5 linked regions of the Rattus norvegicus genome follow. The protein of the gene in region 2 interacts with the protein of the main gene of each other region in a pairwise test. Links are inferred from orthologs where the notes say so. Each region holds a gene or a part of one and is shown on either strand. Other genes may lie near its edges. The genes, in order: Eif4e2, Eif4enif1, Eif4e, Dtx2 and Efhc1.

What was found.
Region 1: the proteins of Eif4enif1 (region 2) and Eif4e2 interact in binary tests that used the Homo sapiens proteins (3 or more experiments, as listed by UniProt). The two-hybrid records come from large-scale screens. The link is inferred for Rattus norvegicus from reciprocal best matches to the Homo sapiens genes EIF4ENIF1 and EIF4E2.
Region 3: the proteins of Eif4enif1 (region 2) and Eif4e interact in binary tests that used the Homo sapiens proteins (3 or more experiments, as listed by UniProt). The link is inferred for Rattus norvegicus from reciprocal best matches to the Homo sapiens genes EIF4ENIF1 and EIF4E.
Region 4: the proteins of Eif4enif1 (region 2) and Dtx2 interact in binary tests that used the Homo sapiens proteins (3 or more experiments, as listed by UniProt). The two-hybrid records come from large-scale screens. The link is inferred for Rattus norvegicus from reciprocal best matches to the Homo sapiens genes EIF4ENIF1 and DTX2.
Region 5: the proteins of Eif4enif1 (region 2) and Efhc1 interact in binary tests that used the Homo sapiens proteins (3 or more experiments, as listed by UniProt). The two-hybrid records come from large-scale screens. The link is inferred for Rattus norvegicus from reciprocal best matches to the Homo sapiens genes EIF4ENIF1 and EFHC1.

What each region holds. Positions count from the first base shown.
Region 1 is NC_086027.1:95,347,626-95,350,899, reverse strand, and holds the end of Eif4e2 (eukaryotic translation initiation factor 4E type 2), read right to left. Parts: intron 2,696-3,274; coding exon 2,543-2,695; intron 2,451-2,542; coding exon 2,314-2,450; intron 764-2,313; coding exon 691-763; 3' UTR 502-690; downstream 1-501. UniProt on the Homo sapiens protein: Recognizes and binds the 7-methylguanosine-containing mRNA cap during an early step in the initiation. Acts as a repressor of translation initiation.
Region 2 is NC_086032.1:82,308,234-82,311,750, reverse strand, and holds part of Eif4enif1 (eukaryotic translation initiation factor 4E transporter), read right to left. Parts: intron 2,826-3,517; coding exon 2,593-2,825; intron 1-2,592. UniProt on the Homo sapiens protein: EIF4E-binding protein that regulates translation and stability of mRNAs in processing bodies (P-bodies). Plays a key role in P-bodies to coordinate the storage of translationally inactive mRNAs in the cytoplasm and prevent their degradation.
Region 3 is NC_086020.1:229,768,239-229,771,755, reverse strand, and holds part of Eif4e (eukaryotic translation initiation factor 4E), read right to left. Parts: intron 2,958-3,517; coding exon 2,818-2,957; intron 946-2,817; coding exon 831-945; 3' UTR 1-830. UniProt on the Homo sapiens protein: Acts in the cytoplasm to initiate and regulate protein synthesis and is required in the nucleus for export of a subset of mRNAs from the nucleus to the cytoplasm which promotes processes such as RNA capping, processing and splicing.
Region 4 is NC_086030.1:26,316,703-26,320,689, forward strand, and holds the start of Dtx2 (probable E3 ubiquitin-protein ligase DTX2), read right to left. Parts: upstream 2,806-3,987; 5' UTR 2,662-2,805; exon of another isoform or gene 2,611-2,661; intron 1,290-2,610; 5' UTR 1,134-1,289; intron 1-1,133. UniProt on the Homo sapiens protein: Regulator of Notch signaling, a signaling pathway involved in cell-cell communications that regulates a broad spectrum of cell-fate determinations.
Region 5 is NC_086027.1:30,882,254-30,885,770, reverse strand, and holds part of Efhc1 (EF-hand domain-containing protein 1), read right to left. Parts: coding exon 3,491-3,517; intron 1,446-3,490; coding exon 1,253-1,445; intron 1-1,252. UniProt on the Homo sapiens protein: Microtubule inner protein (MIP) part of the dynein-decorated doublet microtubules (DMTs) in cilia axoneme, which is required for motile cilia beating.

The sequences.
Region 1 (3,274 bases), on a different chromosome or scaffold from region 2:
GGGAGGAGGTTGCCAAGCAGCTTTGGCACCAGAGAGAATACCCCATCAGCACAAAGCAAAAAAAGTATGTATGTATGGCCACAGACAGACAGAAGCAGGGCTTTAGCTCCAAGCAAGAGATTTCTATGAACTAAAGGCAAATGGAAGTTAGCAAAGAAAAGCCAAGGATACCCCTTTCCAACCATACGAGACTTTCAAACTGGCCCTGAACTCAGCCGCCACTCTGGGCCAGCCATCAGTCTAACTGGATGGAAACTAGTACACTTGAGCACCAGGCAGTTGGGTCTTGAGAGTTAGACGTCTCCTCCTTATTTAATGTCAGACCACAACAGTCCTGGAATAAAGTACCATGAATACACAATGGGCTTGTGGCTATGAAGCTGCGTTCCCTGAATCCAGGCCCTGCATGGAGAAGTCTGTATGCCATCCCTTGATAGTGGTGACAGTCAATCCAGAGGCCACATCTTGATGCACCATAAAGAGCAAGAGCATGAGACAAGCTGGTTTAGCACCATTTATTTGTGATCTCAGCTGTTGTAGTAGTTGCTGCTGTCAGCCTGTTCTCAAAGGTAACATGCTCTTCCGTTCCTCTTGTCCAGGACAGAAGGGTCTTCCAGGTGGCACGCCAACAGAACAAGAGACTCCGATGACGCCAGCTTCAATGATGGTGCCATCCAGAGAGGGAGAGTGTCATGGCACATTCAATCGCGGCTTCCAGAGGTTTTGAAAAAGGAGCCTTTGGGGGCCCAGCCTGCCTGGCATTCTAGTGGAAGTGCAAAAGGTAGCTCATTGGGAGAGGAAAGAGAGTGGGGAGCAAGGGAAAGTTGCATCTGGGTCTTGAGGAGGGTGCTACAGCTGCAGGGCAGGAGTCCCGGAGGCTCCTAGGTCCTGGAAGGATTTGTTTATGGGACTTTACAAGTCAAGATGAACTGCCTCCAGGTATCAGAAAGGGGGAACAGTGGGGAGTGAATGGAAACTACTCTTTCCCTTTCCTAACCAGGTTAAATGGGAACCCAGCAAACAAGAATCCTAGGGAAAGATGTAGACTTTCTGAGCTTGGACTAACCTAGCAGGAGGGCAGATACTATCTCTGTTGGCAGCAGAGTGTAAGACAGACCTGCTCTAAGAAAAACAGTGCTGACACAGGATTATTGAGACAAGCAACCAAGGCCACAGATGGCAAATGAGTGCTGGTGGCTCCAGTGAGTCAGAGCCATCTGATATAGGACCAGCCTATGGCAGTCCTCCCAGTCAAAAACTGGCACCTAGCTGGTATAAGTGAACTCCACCACGACATCATATGTGAACACGTGGGAAAGAGTCTCACATAGTCTACTGCTGCTGATACAACTACTGTCTTACTATTAGTCTTGAATAGGAATGGCATGATGATGGCACTGCACTAATGACGACAGCAATGATACTTGGTCCGTAAAAGCTTTCTTGCTCTGAGGACCTTCAGTTACAAAGATTAGACCAGCCTAACCACAACCTTACTATTTATTTCTGTACTCCCACCTCATAGCTGGAGAAACTGATACAGTTGCAGAGACTTGCCAAAGGCACATACTGGCTCAGGGCCACAGGAGACAATGAACATAAAGACCTGACTCCTGGTGGCTGGTTTTCCTTCCACCTTTGAGACAATCTAGAAGCCATTCATAATGACCTGAGCTCATCTCTGTCACTGTCCCTGAAGGAGAAGCCCTCACCAGTGATTCTCCATGTGGAGAGCACTCACTGTCTTCAGTGGGATACAAAGCTTCTTTCTCCTGTGGCTCTACCTTCCCTTCTCCTCTCTCACAACCTACTGTACTGTATCTAGACTCCAGTTCTATACATACAAAATAGAGTCACCACTCCTGGTAAGAAGTCAATCTCCCAAGACAAAGAGAACAGACTAGGCTAACAGGTTAAACAGACATGCAAAGGTGGGGTCAGGGTGGGCAGGGAAGAGGATTTTATTGTTCAATAATTGTTTTTAAAAACAGACAGAGAAACTTCTGAAAGAGCTTTGTCTTTCATTTTAAAATAGTGGTTAGCATAAGAAAGACAAGATAGCCTGTAGAAAAGAAGCCAGCCCAGGCAGGAAAACTGGGTTTTGAAGAAGGGCCCTTTGCTTCACAGCACCTCACAGTAGGTCCTCGGAGCCTCACTAATAAGAACTTCAGCAAGTGGCCAAAGCCCTGGAGGGGGCTGATATGTCCCTGCATCACAAGTCAGTGTCATGTGACCACATTTGTCTGGGACCAACTATGGAGTTAACTCTGCTAAGCTCAGGGACCTGTCCCCCCCAAACCCCCCAACACGTACTTGATGCTGTCGGTGTGAGTTTTGTATTCCATAATGGTGTTGGGAGGTAGGTTAAGCACGCGCCGAAGAGTGTCCCGGATTCGGGCTGTGGTTGCTTGGTCGCTGGCAGTCTTATTCCATATAGAAATAATGTCCTCCTAAGGGAGGAACAGAATGAATTACCAAACCAACAGAAATAGCAATGAGAATGGCGGCGACTCAGAAAGAACAATGGCCTGGGCTGGCTTACCTGGAAGCGGACAGAGACCACAGCCCCGCAGATCTCCTCCCCAACCATGAACTGTTCCCCGAGCATGGCCAGGATGAGATTCTCCCAGCAGCGGGAAGCTAAGCCCTTCCGGAGTCGAATGATCCACTTGCCCCCATTTTTATTTGCATCATCCTATAGAAAGACAGAAAGCGTCTCGGGTAAACTACTGCTCCACAATGTCATCTGCGAATACCAAAGAATACTTCTGAAGAACAGTCAAGTCTAGCCACTTTTCCAATCTGACATTATTTCAATGTTAAGAAAAGAAGAAATAGGGAACAAAAAAAGAAAAAAAAATCATTGATTTAAATAATTTTAAAGGACTAAACAGATCTTTTAAAAAGTATCCACCTTTATCTGAACTATTTCGGGAACCACAGTGAAACTATTTCAACCACAGGCCATAATCAATTTTTGCTAAAATCTGACCATCACTAAGTACCAAGAACATAGACAGAAGCTCAGATCTTAACACAGGCACAATGGAGCTGAGGAGAGACGCACAACGAATTAATTACAGCCACCCAGCCTAATGAGTACTACTGTATCTGCACATGGTGTGGTGAGAGAGCATACAGTGGGAACCGCAGAGGAAACACTCAGGCTGGTCTTGAGGGACAAGTTTAATATGTAAAGCAGGAAGAAGATGCCAAGGCACTGGAGGAACATGTCTCACTGAGCCAGAAGGAAGAGAGGACTTTCCACATTTTC
Region 2 (3,517 bases):
GATGCACAGAGTCAGATGAGAACTAGTACCCAGCAGTAGACAGAGCAGGAGCTCAAATGCAAACCAAGCCAGCACAGATACAATTCTGAATCTGTGTAAATATTTACCTAGCCGCTTATTATCAGGGGTCAGAAGCTCACTTCACCACCATACCTGAAGCTACATGTGCACAACAGCACGACACTCTAATATCAAACCAAGTGTGTTCACAGCTGAAGGTCAATATTGTGCAAAACCAATCAAAGGTTGAGATATGAAATACTGAACTCCCTTCTCTCTCCCTTTTTTCCTTCAAGACAGAGAGTCTGTCTATGTAGCACAAGCTGGTCTCAAACTTGCCCTTCTCCTGCTTCCTCCCCCACTGCTCCCAGCTCTTTTGCCTCCACCTCTGGAGACTCACGCTGAAAGGAGAAAGCAACCCTATGGCAGGATTTGAATGAAAACTAATCAGTGACAAACCCCAGGGCTGGAGAGACAATCATCAGGTAAAGTGCCTGTTGTCAAGTCCAACAATCCGACATCAACTCCACGGTTTAGTGTGCAAAGAGAAAACGACTCTCTCAAGTTGTCCTCTGACCTCTACACACGTTGTGGCACACATGCCCATAAGAATACATACATGCACTCAAAATACTTTGTAAAAGGACATAGTGAATCAAACATTTATTGCTGTTCACACGTTTTGTAGTTCCTAGCCAAAAAGGGTTGAGGAGGAAAAGAGGCAAATTCAATTTGACAGACTTGATATAGCAGAGCAACTGAGTCTAGGTTTCATCCTTCAGATCTGTCTTGCTTCCCAATCATTCTGTATACAAGTGATAGGGCCACATTAACACTGAGCTGAAACTCACTCTAAACACCATTATGATGGAAATCAGTGCATGTTATAAATCAGTGCGTGTTATAAACCTGCATTATGGCTGGAGAGCCGACTCAGTAATTAAAGCTAGGGGAGCAATCTACAATATAAAACAAACTGCAACTTGAAATACAAACAAAACCAATTGCAGCTTCTTACTATTAGTAAATTAACAGTATAATTGTCTTGTAAAAAACACTACCATGGCCAGGTGTGCTGGACAGACCTCTAATCTGAACACTCAGGAGGCAGAGGCAGGCAGATCTCTGAGTTCTGAGTTAGAGGCCAGCCTAGTCTACAGCATGAGTTTCAGGACAGCCAAGGCAACATAGAGAAACCTGTCTTAACAAACTAAACTAAATTAAAATAAAACAAACAAAAAACCCTCACATCTTTAATATATACTGAGAGAGATACAGAGTGGGGGGGGAGGGGGAAGAAGGGGGGGAAACAGACAGACAGTGTGTGTGCACCTTTCTAGATCAGGCTATCCTTTGAATTTGGAATTATTCTGCCTCCAGTTTCCAAGTAGTGATGGAACTATCAGTCTTTACCACCATGCTCAGCTCCACCTTTGGTATTTTAATTGATTTAGTTAAATTTAATTAATCAGTCTAATCAAGAGAACAGGCAATCTAGATATTTGAGTATATACAAAGTGTGACAATAAAGACTTTACTGTAGGGAGCTGGTGAGGCTGCTCAGTGGTTAGCACACAGGCTGCTCTTCCAGTGAACAAATATTCCTTCACCCACATGGAGGCTCGGAACCATCTGAAACACCAGTCATAGGGGGGCCTGATGCCCTTTTCTGGCCTGTGTGCACCAGGCATGCAAGTAGTGCACAGACACACACACAAACTAAATGCTCATACAAATATAATTAAATAAATCTTGTAAAATTTTATTATAACATTATCTACAGTTAGGCAGTGATGGTTCATCATTAATCTCAACACTTGGAAGGTAGAAGCTGGGAGATCTTTGAGTTTGTCCCCAGCCTGGTTTACAGAGTGAGTTCTAGGACACCTAGGGCTACACAGAGAAACTATCTTAGGGGGAAAAAAAAAAAAACGAAAACAAAATAAAACAAATGGGTATCAGGTGGTCCTACCTGGCCCTGAGCTCCTGCCCTCACAGACACTAGGGTTAGAAGCACACGTCACTATGCCCAGTTCAGCACAAGGGATCAATTTCTTTTTTTCCTCTCCTTTTTGCATAGATAACCCCACATATTAGATATGTGTATCTCCAAACAGGGCTAAAATCTACAACTCAGTCCTTCCCTTCTTAGGAAAGACTTCATAGAGGCACTGCATTAACTGACGCAGACTGAATTAGTTGGCCACACTACTGTCCCAAACACACACACCATCAGATATGCCTCTTCTAATAACAAATCAATATCCATAATTAAGGGACAAACAAAGACCAAACAACTTCTAAAGAAAATGCAGGGCTGGAGAGATGGCTGAGGGGTCAAGGGCACTGACTGCTCTCCCAGAGGTCCTGAGTTCAATTCCCAGCAACCACACGGTGGCTCACAACCATCTGTAATGGGATCCGATGCCCTCTTCTGGTGTGTCTGAGGACAGCTACAGTGTACTCATCTACATAAAATAAATAAAACTTTAAAAAAAAAAGAAAGAAATTTGCAAACTACTCGGATACCTGCATCAAACCTATTTATTACTGCAGTGGGAGAGGCTGGGCGAGGTTGTACCGAATACTTACACTGACTTTGGGCTGGGTAGGCAAAGTCCCACTTGCCTTCATGGTGTTCACTAGTTTGTTGAATGCAGTCATATCTCCATCTTTCTTGAGCTGCCGATTGCTAGTCACAGCACTCAGGGTCTCCTCTAAATGTTCTGCCATGAAGGGAGTTGAATTCTTTATTTGCTGGTCCACCTTCAAGCCCTTCAGCCCGGCTTCTACCTCTTCCACTGAAAGTACAACCCCTGAATGTGCTGAGAAGTTGAGAAAGTTCTTATTACACCAAGCAAAGGGTGTTGAGGAAGAATTCTCATTGGCTACCAATGACAACTATTTCGTCACTGTAGTGAGGCTGTCCAAAAGGCTGACACTGAAATAGACAGACGGAACACTTAAAATGAATTTGTTAGGAATAAGGCTGAAATCACACACTTCGAAGGAGACGGTGAGCACTCAAGGAGGCATAGTGAGCTCCAGGACAGCAAGGACTAAACAGACCTAGTCTCAAAAACAAAAAGGGGATAATAGAGGGGGAGAGTGACACCTGTGGGAAGAAATGACTCAGTGATGAAGAGTCCACATTGTCTTACAGAGGATCTGACTTCAATTCCCAGCAGCCGCACCAGACAGCTCACAACTGCCCATAACTCTAGAGTCAGAGACCCTGTATCTCTCATCACCTTGGGCACATACAGAGTCTCACTTTCATTTTTTGAAGTCTGGTCTTTGATTATCTATTGTAATGCTAAATACAGGCCTTTTGTTATCTATTGTAATGCTAAATACCGGCCTCCCAGGACCTGGTTGTCCCAAAGATGTAGACTGTGCTCCCAAATCATTTCTGGTTGGTAAATAAAGATGTCAACAGCTAATAGCTGGGAAGAGAGATATAAGTGGGGTTGAGGTTTACTGGGTTGGGGTCAAAGAGAACCATGAGGTGAGGAAG
Region 3 (3,517 bases), on a different chromosome or scaffold from region 2:
GTTAAAGTACAGCATAAAGATACAAAAGCAGACAACTAATTCTAGTTAGGAATGTAATTATGGTGTTACATTTTTATAGTCCACAATTATGTTTAGGGATCACACAGACATAGATCACTGATTTGAATGAAATGCATAAATTTGTAGCAAAGCTTTGTAGTTACAAAAAACAAAAAAATTACCAAAGAATGCACAAATGTAATGTTTATTCCACCTTTCTGTCATAGTCCTGGATCCTTCACCAATGTTACATGAGGAAAAAAACAAAAGCAAAACAAATGAAAAACTGAAATCAGAATCACTAATGTTATCAAGGAGGGAAGCAAATAAATTAACATCTAGCAGCCATCAGCAAGAGGACAGCAAGGACAATGCTGTGACAGAAAACAGAAGGTTGCTAGAAAGCTGTACTTAGACTCTCACACCAGCAAATCCGCTCCTGCATGGAGTGGAACAAAACCAGATCTTTTCCTGCTAAGGTGACAGAAATGCACGTTCTTTTTCGAATACTGTGGAAAGGCAAGTGTGTGTCGTGGTAACTCTACCCGGCTGTTACAGAGCGGGCCAGGAACACATCTGTGGGTTCTGGGGTGACGTATACTGTAATTCTTTGATTGGGATGGTGGACACACTAGCAAAAATTGGGGTGGGGGAGGAGAATGAACACAGAAGTACAAGACAAAGGCGAATGAGACTTCTCTTATATCTTAGCAACACTTGGATGGAGTCAGCTTCAGTGCAGTCCACTCTGCTTTGATGAGGCTTTGGTTCAGCTCCCAATCTCGATTGCGTGACGCAGTCTCCTGTGAGGATACTCAGAAGGTGTCTTCTTAAACAACAAACCTATTTTTAGTGGTGGAGCCGCTCTTTGTAGCTGTGTCTGCGTGGGACTGATAACCAATCACTATCTTCGGAGGAAGTCCTAACCTTTCCTTGTATACCCTCCTACAAGACACAGGAGACAAGAAACATTAGTATTTCTTTAAAAAAGAAAAAGGATTTAAATGCATTTTATAAAGCTGTAGTGTATTAGTCGATGCATTAAAAATGCAAATCAAAATGTGTTCATTTTCTTTCAGTATAACTAGCAAAATTAAAAATTAGTCTTTACTTTCACAACTATACTTTAATCATGTTACAGACAACTGGAATCCCACCAGGTTTGTCTTTATTATTACTACTAATAAAAAGGTACGATTATACCAAACAGAAACGGGCAAATCAGAATCAGCTCACGGGCTCACAGCAATTGCTTGGTTAACATAGCAAGATCCTATCTCAAAAAGTAAAATAAAAATTCTATTTACATATGAATTCTATTTTGCCTTATGTATCAACTTCACAAACCAATTTTCAAATTAGTTGTGACTACTTTAAAAATAAAATGTGATGTGTACTAAACAGGGCTTAGGTATATGACTATCAACTACAATTCAGAGGGTCTAAAGCTCATCTGCAGTATTAGAGAAATCTCTCCTTAAAAGGCCAAAAGGGGGCTGGGCATTGTGGTGCGCGCCTTTAATCACAGCACTTGGGAAGCAGAGGCAGGCACATCTCTGGTTTACAGCGTGAGTTCTGACAGAGCCAGGGCTAGGTACACAGAGACCCTGCTTCAAGTGGGTGGGTGGGTGGAGGGATGTCGAGGTGTTAACAGTCTAATCTTCAGGGAATGAAACACATCTAAAGGTTGAGAAGAAACAACAAAAGCTATAAAAATGAAAGCTGTGTGGCTAGATTGTAAGTGGGTATAAAATAAGACCGACAAAAACCTGAGAAAAGAGCAGAGAACTTAATTTTTAATCTTAGAAAGAAATAATACAGAACATTCAAAAAACAAACAGTAAAACTAAAACAAAAGTGCCATTTCCACAGTTTTACCCCTGGCAGAATCATACTTCTTCCAAAGTTTTTTTGTTTTTGTTTTTTTTTTAAGGCAATTAGTATGAAATGACATTGTAACAGTTTTTTTAAAAATACTCTTTACTATTAAAAAATGTACGTGTGTGTGTGTGTGTGTGTGTGTGTGTGTGTGTGTGTGTGTGTGTGCGCGTGCGTGCGTGTGCGCGCACACAGCAACAAGAAGTTAAACTGTGTCAGCTGGAAGCATTGAAAAACTTTTTCCTTGGAAAACTGAAGTTAAGATGTATACAGATCATCAACAACTTAGAAAGCACAAGCCTCTTCTAGGTAGTTATAAAACTTCAAAACATCTAATACTGACACAAAAAGTTCTGTAGCAATTTCTGTTTTTTGAAGAAATACAACACTGCTAACAGGTCAATGTTAATACTAAAAGATGAAAAATGACAAGTCAACAATGACTCATTGCAAATTCCACTTAGAATCAAACTTCATTTTGCTTTTTACTAATTTTCATGTAATCAAAGAGACTTCTAGCAAAACTTATGTGTATGAATTATAAAAAATAAAATTTTCAACAGAGAAACTTATAAACACATGGGCTCTAAGTATGGGAGGAAGCTGTCCTAGACAGTGCATGCACCACCAGTGCAAAGCCATGTTACAGCAATAGAAAAGACAAACACATTCAACGTTAACAGGATCCAAACTTGTGTCCAGGAAAACATTTTTTTTTTTTTTGGTTCTTTTTTTTTTTTCGGAGCTGGGGACCGAACCCAGGGCCTTGCGCTTCCTAGGTAAGCGCTCTACCACTGAGCTAAATCCCCAGCCCCCAGGAAAACATTTACGAAGAAAATAAAAAGTTTATAAATCCAACTGTCTAAAGCTATGTATGTAAAGGACGTCTACATTTAGTTAATAAATAGTCAAGGAAGCAAGGAGGGGAGCACAACGCACCCTATGTGTGTGACTGCATCTCTGTTTTCACATTCAGTCGTCCATATTGCTATCTTATCACCTTTAGCTCTAACATTGACAACAGCTCCACACACGTCATCACTGTAGTCATCAAAAGATTCTCCAATAAGGCACAGCAGCTAAAAATAAAACAAAAATAGCAAATTACATTGACTATATAGATCATCAACAACTAAGAAGAAAGCGCAGGACTCTTAGGGATAGTTATAAAACTAAACTAATTCTAATCAACAACTGACATCTGACATTGGTCAGGAAGAGGCAGCATTGGCAAGTCTGAAGCTATCCTGATCTAGACACAAGAAAGCAAATGAGTAAGATCTGACTGCGTTTTGTTGTGAAGACAGGACACACATGTTGTGGCAAACCAATGGAGGTAAGAGAGCAGTGGGTTCTGGGAATTAAACTCAGGTAGTCAGACTTGGAAACAAGCACCCTTACCTAAAGAATCACAGAGCAGTTTACAAAATGACTTTTTTTTTTTTTTTAAATATTTCATTTATTTAGTATATATGAGTACATTGTCGCTGTCTTCAGATGGTTGTGAGCCACCATGTGGTTGCTGGGAATTGAACTCAGGACCTCTGGAAGAGCAGTCGGTGCTCTTAACCACTGAGCCATCTCTCCAGCCCTACAAAATGACTTTTAAAAAAATAAATAAAAAACAACAAAGCCTAAT
Region 4 (3,987 bases), on a different chromosome or scaffold from region 2:
AGAATTCACTACGTATCCAAGGATGGCCCCACACTCATGATCCTCTTGCCTCAGTTTATTGAATGCTGGGATTGCAACTTATACCACCATGCAAGGGTGAACTGGCTACATACCCCAGGCTTACCTCAAACCTTCAGTTCTACCTAAGCCTCCCGAGTGTGGGATGACAAGCATCCATCACCTTGCTAGGCATTATTTTCTTTTTAATTTATTATTTTTGTGTGAATGTGGGCTTGTGTTTGAAATGGAGGAGTGTAGAAGGGATGGTTTTCGGGAATCCAGTCTCTCTTTCCACCGTGGAAGCCAAGGATAGAAGCCAGGTGGTCAGATTTGTGCAGTAGGGATAGCGTTATTTCTTTAAAAAAAAAAAAAAAAAAAAAAAGGCAGGACCAGTCAGATGGCTTGGCGGGTAAAAGTACTTACTGCCAATTATGATTACTTGACTTAGATCTCCAGAACTTACCTGCTAGGGAGACGTGACTCCTGCAAACTGCCCTGTCACCTCCACACGTGCACCAGGGCCCGCACAATAATAAAAAATAAACGTTTTGAAGTGCTGGGGCTTGAACCCAGGTCTTGTATGCTGGCTAAGCACTTTACCGAAGCTGTTTCCAGCCCATAAGGCATGTCTAAGGAAGGATGTATCCTCTAAGACTGGTTAGACAGAAGCAGCGCTGGCAAGGAGCCAAATGAATTTATTTGCAACAGCTGGCAATCAACAATCAACTCCCAGGCCTCACTTCACTCCTGGAACCCCAGAATCCCACCGTCCATGCGGCCTGCTTCGTTATGTATGTGTCTGTAGAAAAGCAATGTGCGTGTGTGCACAGATGCACTAGGGGTTCCTGGAGGCTAGGGGATAGCCTGGGCTACAGTTCTGCAGGTGCCATCAACCTAGGCTGGTTGACTGCCTAGCACACCGCAGGGATTCACCTGTCTCCTCCCTAGCAGAAAAGCGCAAGCACAAACCACCATGCCAGGCTTTCTACGTTGGTTCTGGAAAGCGAATCTGGACCCTCCTGCTTGCCAGACAAGCACTGTATGGACTGAGCCATCTCCCTTCCATGCCCACACCCACCTCCTTTGAAACCAGCTTTCAAAAGCAGCAAGGTTGATTTCCCCATGGCTCTCACCTCCTCTTCACTGAAGGGCTGGCACCAAACTGTCCCTTCTTGATGGAGATCGTCAGAAGCAATAACTTGTCTGGGCTCCCATCTTGATATGAACAGCAAACAAGAACCGGGAAAATCCGAGGGCTTGCTGACTCAGCCACACCAATTCCGAGGTACCTTTGCCAAAAAGATGATTAAGTCCTCAATGAAGAAACGGCAAGAGAAAACGAGCGCACAGATGTTGGGTCCCGTGTGCTGTGGCAGGCGACTGGAAACCACCAGGCTTATTGTACAACAGCCTGGGCAGGGAGCACAAAGTAGGGACAGTTTTTCTCAGTCCCCTCAACTAAGCCCTTTCCCAGAAAAGCCCATATGAGGACCTCAGAAGGAAGTCCCACGGGCGGTCCATGAAGTAAATCAACCCAGAGAGGGTAAAAATTTGACCAAAGTCACACTGTAAATAAGCAAAGAGACTAGATACCCAAGCAGCTGACGTCAACCCTCACTTTCTTGGCTACTGGGAGGGAAGTCTACATCACAGAACTCTTACTTTTTCTTTTTTTGGTGGGTTGTTTTTTTTTTTTTTTTTTCTTTTTCTTTTTTTCGGAGCTGGGGACCGAACCCAGGGCCTTGTGCTAAATGTTTTGTTTTTTGGTTTTTTTTTTTTTTTTTTTTTTTTGAGCAGGGTCCACAGTATATAGCTTAGGGCTAGATTGGAACTCCTGAGTCTCATGCTTCTGCCTCACAAGTACTGAAATTACAGGCATAAATCACCATACCTGGCTAACACTTTTTGGGAGTGTGGGTGTGTGTGTGTAATATAGTATCTTGTTATGCAGCACAGGCAAGCTTTAAACTACCCTCAAGCCCTGGTCTCCCAAATGCTGGGATTACAAGCATGCAACACATCGCTCGGCTCTCTAGAACTTTAAAGGGGCCAAGATGGTATGGAGTTCCTTAAATGTCTTGCCTGTGTACACATTCGTATTTACGCCACTGTGGAGGCAAAGCTAATATGGGCAACCCTGCGGCTGTCTGAGGGAAAGGATGAAAAGCGGAGCTTCAAAACAGAGACACCCCAAAGTGCCCCGGGGACCCAGTTTGACAGAGACCGAGAATGGAAAGGCAAACGCCCCCAAAGTCCAACTCTCAGCCAGTGGTGGATCACTATCGCCTGGATGACTAAAACTGTCCCCTCAGGGAACCAGGGTAGCAATAGCCTCACGGCTCTTCCAGGTCCTGTAGGACTCAAACTGCCAGAGATGCGACCCCCGTCTCTGCAAATATAAGGCTCTCACCACACCCAGCCGGTCCCCAACGCTCAGAGCGTCCCAACTGCGACTTCCCGCCTCCAGGACCCTGGTACCCGGTGCCCAGGGCTCCCAACGCCCCCAGGACTCACCCAACCCGCCGGCACGGCCCTCCCTCCCTCGCACGACCGCCCCCTTCCGGTCTCAGCTTGGCTCAATAGCCCCCTCTCCTCAACCCACCCACCCACCTTCAGGACCCTAGCCTGGGCGCCAGCAGGTGGCTCGCCCGTCCCGCTCACCGAGTCTGAGGGAAGCAGAAGGAACAGGTTGAGAGGAGCGCCGACCTCCGGGCTCAGCTCCGGCTCGGCCTGGGAAGAACCCCCGAGTATATCTCCGACTCCGAGCAGGAGGCAGCCGGAGTGAAACTCGGCGTCGCAGCCTCCAAGCGCCGCGTTGCGCATGTCCCCCTCGCGCGGTGCCTTCTGGGAAATGTAGTTCTGGTGAAGCTGAGTGGGCTGAACCAAAGCGCACCAGCTGTTGTAAAGGTACCCAGCCTTCCTTCTCTTTCTCCTACTGATTTACTCCTTCATTAATTACTGATGCATTTGATTTTTAATAATTTTTATATCTCTTTTTATTATTATGTGTGTATATTCTGGAGGTGGGTGTACTTATAGAGGTCAAGGAACAACTTTAGGAGCCCCTTCTCCGCGTCCACCTTCACGTGGGTTCCACGGATCGAACTCAAGGTGTCAGGCTTGTCAGCAAATGCCTTTACTCTCTAAGCCATATTGCCAACCCCTGATTTTTCTTTTTGTGGTGTTGAGGATCAAAGTTAATGCAAGCACTTTAGACGACCAAAGTTATTGCAAGCACTTCAGACAAGTGTTCTAGTACTAATGAATCCCCAGCTGTAAGATTCACCTTTTGGGGGTGGAGGGGGTTCAGGATCTCATATACCCCCTCTGAATTTGCTATGTAGCCAAGGCTAGCCTTAAACTCCTGAATCTCCTGCCTCTGTTTCCTAACTGCTGAGCTTACAAGCACAGTCTTTTTTTTTTTTTTTTTTTTTTTTTTTTCCGGAGCTGGGGACCGAACCCAGGGCCTTGCGCTTGCTAGGCAAGCGCTCTACCACTGAGCTAAATCCCCAACCCCTACAAGCACAGTCTTAAGAAACGTACATTTAAATTTAAAAATAAGAAAGTAATCTATTAAAAATGTTAAGCCTTGTCTTATGGTGGCATGGCTCAGTGGTAGAGCACTTAATCTGGCAAGTAGGTAGGAGACCCTGGATTTGCAAAAGAAGTCCTTAAAATTCACGTGACAGAGCCTGTTCCATTCCCCAGAATCTGCTCCCAGCTCACCCAGCAAAAAGGAGAGCACAGCCAGAGAAGTCAAGGAGACCTGGCCTCAGCGCCGGCACTGTGGAGCGCGCGGGCGGAGGGCGGGGGAGGGGGCTGGGGGAGTTGCTACTGTTTTGCTTGGAAAGGCAGAATTGTGTTGCTTCCTGCCTCTGCTAATTGGTCTCCATCTGACGCTCCAGAGGGACAGTCTGATAAGACAGAGCTGCTTTGCTCATTACTTCTGATGAATGGATGGCACCTGGCATTTCCTGGTGCAGACGG
Region 5 (3,517 bases), on a different chromosome or scaffold from region 2:
TCAACTGCTAAGTCTCTACAGCCTATAGCAAACTTTTATATTGCTGTGGTATCTATTGTAATGTCTCCCTTCTTGCTGATGATTCAGAGTTTTCTCTTTTTCCTTAGTCCAGCTACAGGACAGCCAATTTTGTTCATATTTCTTGGAAAAACAAACTATTTTAATGATCCTTTGTATTTTTTCTTTTCATTTGTTTTATTTATTTTTTGCTCTTATTCTCTCTTTTCTCCCTCTCTCCCCCCCCTAACTTACAGATTGTTTTGCTTCTGGTTTTCTAGTTCTCTGGTATGCATCAATTGCTTATTGAGATCAGCGTGAACCAGAGAGCATGCAAAAATGATTGTCCATCTCCCCAGCTCTCCACTCCGGGCAAAGATAGGTTTAGACTCTTAAGACACAGGTCCCAGCTTTCCAATGTTCACCATGGATACTAAGTGGATTTTACTTGAGGCAAATGTTACAGTATCTCATTTGACTTTCTGTTTTTCTGCAGCCTAATGATACTTCTTAAGACCTAACTGTTGACTTTTTGCATAAAGCCTATTTATTGCTTCTAATTACTATATCAAAACCAAGATATAAAGCTGGGCCTGGTGGCACACACCTTCGATCCCAGCACTGGCACAGGAGTGCTGTCTATGCAGTAGGCTCCATGTTAGGCAATGTTACTTAGTAGGATGCTAAGTAACTTACTTGGCTTAGTTAAGAGTCAAAGGTTCCAACGCATACAATGAAATGAAGTTAAGATTAAGTGCTCCGTGGGCCTTGGATGTAGGTCTGATGTGCCAGCCCAGGCAGGAGTGAAAGATCAAGGCCAGGCTGGGGTGCAGAGTGAGGGGAAGGTCATCTTGGAAACTTAGGGAGGCCTTGACTAAAAATAAAAAGAGGAGAGAGGGCTGGGGTGTAGCTGAGTGTCCAAGTGATTCCCTGGCATGGACTCCCAAGTGTCACCGAGACAAACGTGTGACCCCAACACTAGATGGGTTCAGTCTAAGAGCCTTGCTCTATCCATCTTTAAATGAATTATCTGCCGCGTGGTTTTGCTTTTATCCGTGTCAAGTCATCTCTACTAGAGAATGAAGGAGGTATGCCTGGTCTAAAAGGAAAATCACAGAAAAACCATTGTTAAAAAAGGAAGAATGCACCAACGTGTTCATTCATGTTAGTACAAAAGACTAACCCCACTGACGACTGGCTCCCTCGAACTCCCCAAACCTCCCTAATAACAGAGGACACGTCTAATCCAACTTACTTCCGTTATCCACCAAAACTTTGGGCATGCGCTGTCGGTTCATGAGGAGTGGGAAGGGGTCCCTCCCGTTGTTCCGTTCGTGGACCTCACGGATCTCCACAGTGTCATCCATGAGGTAGTAATGAATGATGTAGTGGCGACACTCTCCAAACAAGCTATCCGTGTCGTCCCAGATCGCGTAGAATCGAAGGACCTTTGAGGAGTCCAAAGTGGTGACTTAAGATTCTAAAGCACAGTTTTAACTGCTTTGACAAGTGTCTGTCAGACAATGAAGTGCAGTGGTTAAAACACTTTCTGACAGGAAATTAGAAAAAAAAATCAAGGATACACAAATACACAAAAAAATCATGTACCACGTCTTGCCTTACCAGCTGGAAAGAATAACACAAGTCTTCTAAGTTTCTGCCAAGAAAGGAGAGCTTACTTAGGCCCCGAATATTTGTCTGGGAAAGAGAAGCTGAATTAAAAAAAAAAACAGTGGAGTTTCCTATAAAGGATTTATGCATAGTAGCAAAGATACATGACGAATTATGGATATAGAGCTGGCGTGGAAGGAATTCTCATAATCAGCCTGTCAAAACACACCCACTGGTAATAGGACGGACAGAATCTTCTAATTTAAAGCAACAGCAGAAAGCCAGGTGTGGTGGTGCACGCCTGTAATCCGAATGCATGGGATGCCGAGGCAGGAAGACCGTGAGTTCAAATCAAGCCTGGGATACATTGCTAACTTGAGGCCAGTCTGGGCTATTTAGTGAAACTTTGTCTCAAAAAAGAAATAAGCAAATTAGTCACTTAATTAATTAATAAAGATTAGGGTGTGGTATACGCCTTTAATTCTAGCATTCTCAACACAGTCAACTAACAAGCCAACTAAACAACAACAAACAAACAAACAAACAAACAAAAAACAAAAACCAGCAGCAAAATCCACAATACTAAGTCCATGCTAACACTGGGTAGAACTTTCTGAAATAAAAAAATTAAGCTTTCAGGAAGTTACGCCAATAACTTCAGAGTAATCACTGTCGTTAATTCTCTTCCCTTTATGGGTGAAAGAAGATTCAGATGTGCCTCTCTGCTGAATTGGGGGCTAGAAAGCTGGGCCAGAGTCAGAAAGGGCTCAGAGCCTTCTGAATTCTAGCTGACACTAATGAAATATTCAGCAGGGATACATGCGAGGTGGGATTCCCGAAGCATCCACGAGAATATTTTAATTAACTATTTTATTTTAATAACTATGTAGTGTCGGAATAAATATATAACAGCTTTCAACTTTCCCCCAGATTCATGTAAGCCTTCCCAGAAGCTTCTGTGAGATTAACTCACCAGGCAGTACTGTGCAAACTCATTTCTATGTCAGCTTGTCATAAGCTAGAGTCATCAGAGAGCTCTGGGAGAGCCTCAGTGGAGAAAATGTCTCCATGAGATCAGGCTGTAGGCAAGCCTGTTAGGTATTTCTTAATTAGTGATTCATTGGGGGAGGGGCCAGCCCATTGTGGGTGGTACCACTCCTGGGCTGGTGGTCCTGGGTTCTATAAGAAAGCAGGCTGAGCAAGCCATGAAGAGCAAGCCAGTAAGCAGCACCCCTCCATGGCCTCTGCATCAGTTCCAGCCCCTGGGTTCCAGCCTTGCTTGAGTTCCTGTCCTGACTTCCTCCAGTGATGAACTATGATATGGAAGAGAAGGAAAATAGACCCCGTCTTCCTCAAGCTGCTTTTGGCCCTGATGTTTCATCAGGACAAGAGCAACCCTGACTAAGACAGAGAAACGGAAGTGGGGAATTTGAAATGGAAAGAGAAGTAGATGCGTGTGGCTCAGGAATTGCTTTACCATGAGAACACATGGATGGATTTACAAGATGTCAACGGATGCCTTTATATCTCTAATAATAAAGCTGAGGGCCTGCCAGATGGCCCACTAGGTAATGGAGCTTGCTACCAAGCCTGACAACCTGAGTTTCATGCCCAGGACCCACAGGACAGAATGAGAGGACCACTGCCCAGAAGTTGTCCTTTGACTCCAGTAGGAATGGCATACACTTGCACATCCAAAAATTAATAAAATGTAATAAAATGTTTAATACATTTAAAAAGTAGAGATATAGGCATAGTTTTAGCCCTATATGGAACCACTGTGTGACAATGGTTAAATTATATGCAGGCTATCAAAGCAGTTTTCCCATAAACACATGTCCACATTCAATCAGGAGTGATCCTACTCGATTAGGTGACTTACTTGTTTGTCAAAGGTGAGAAACTGCTT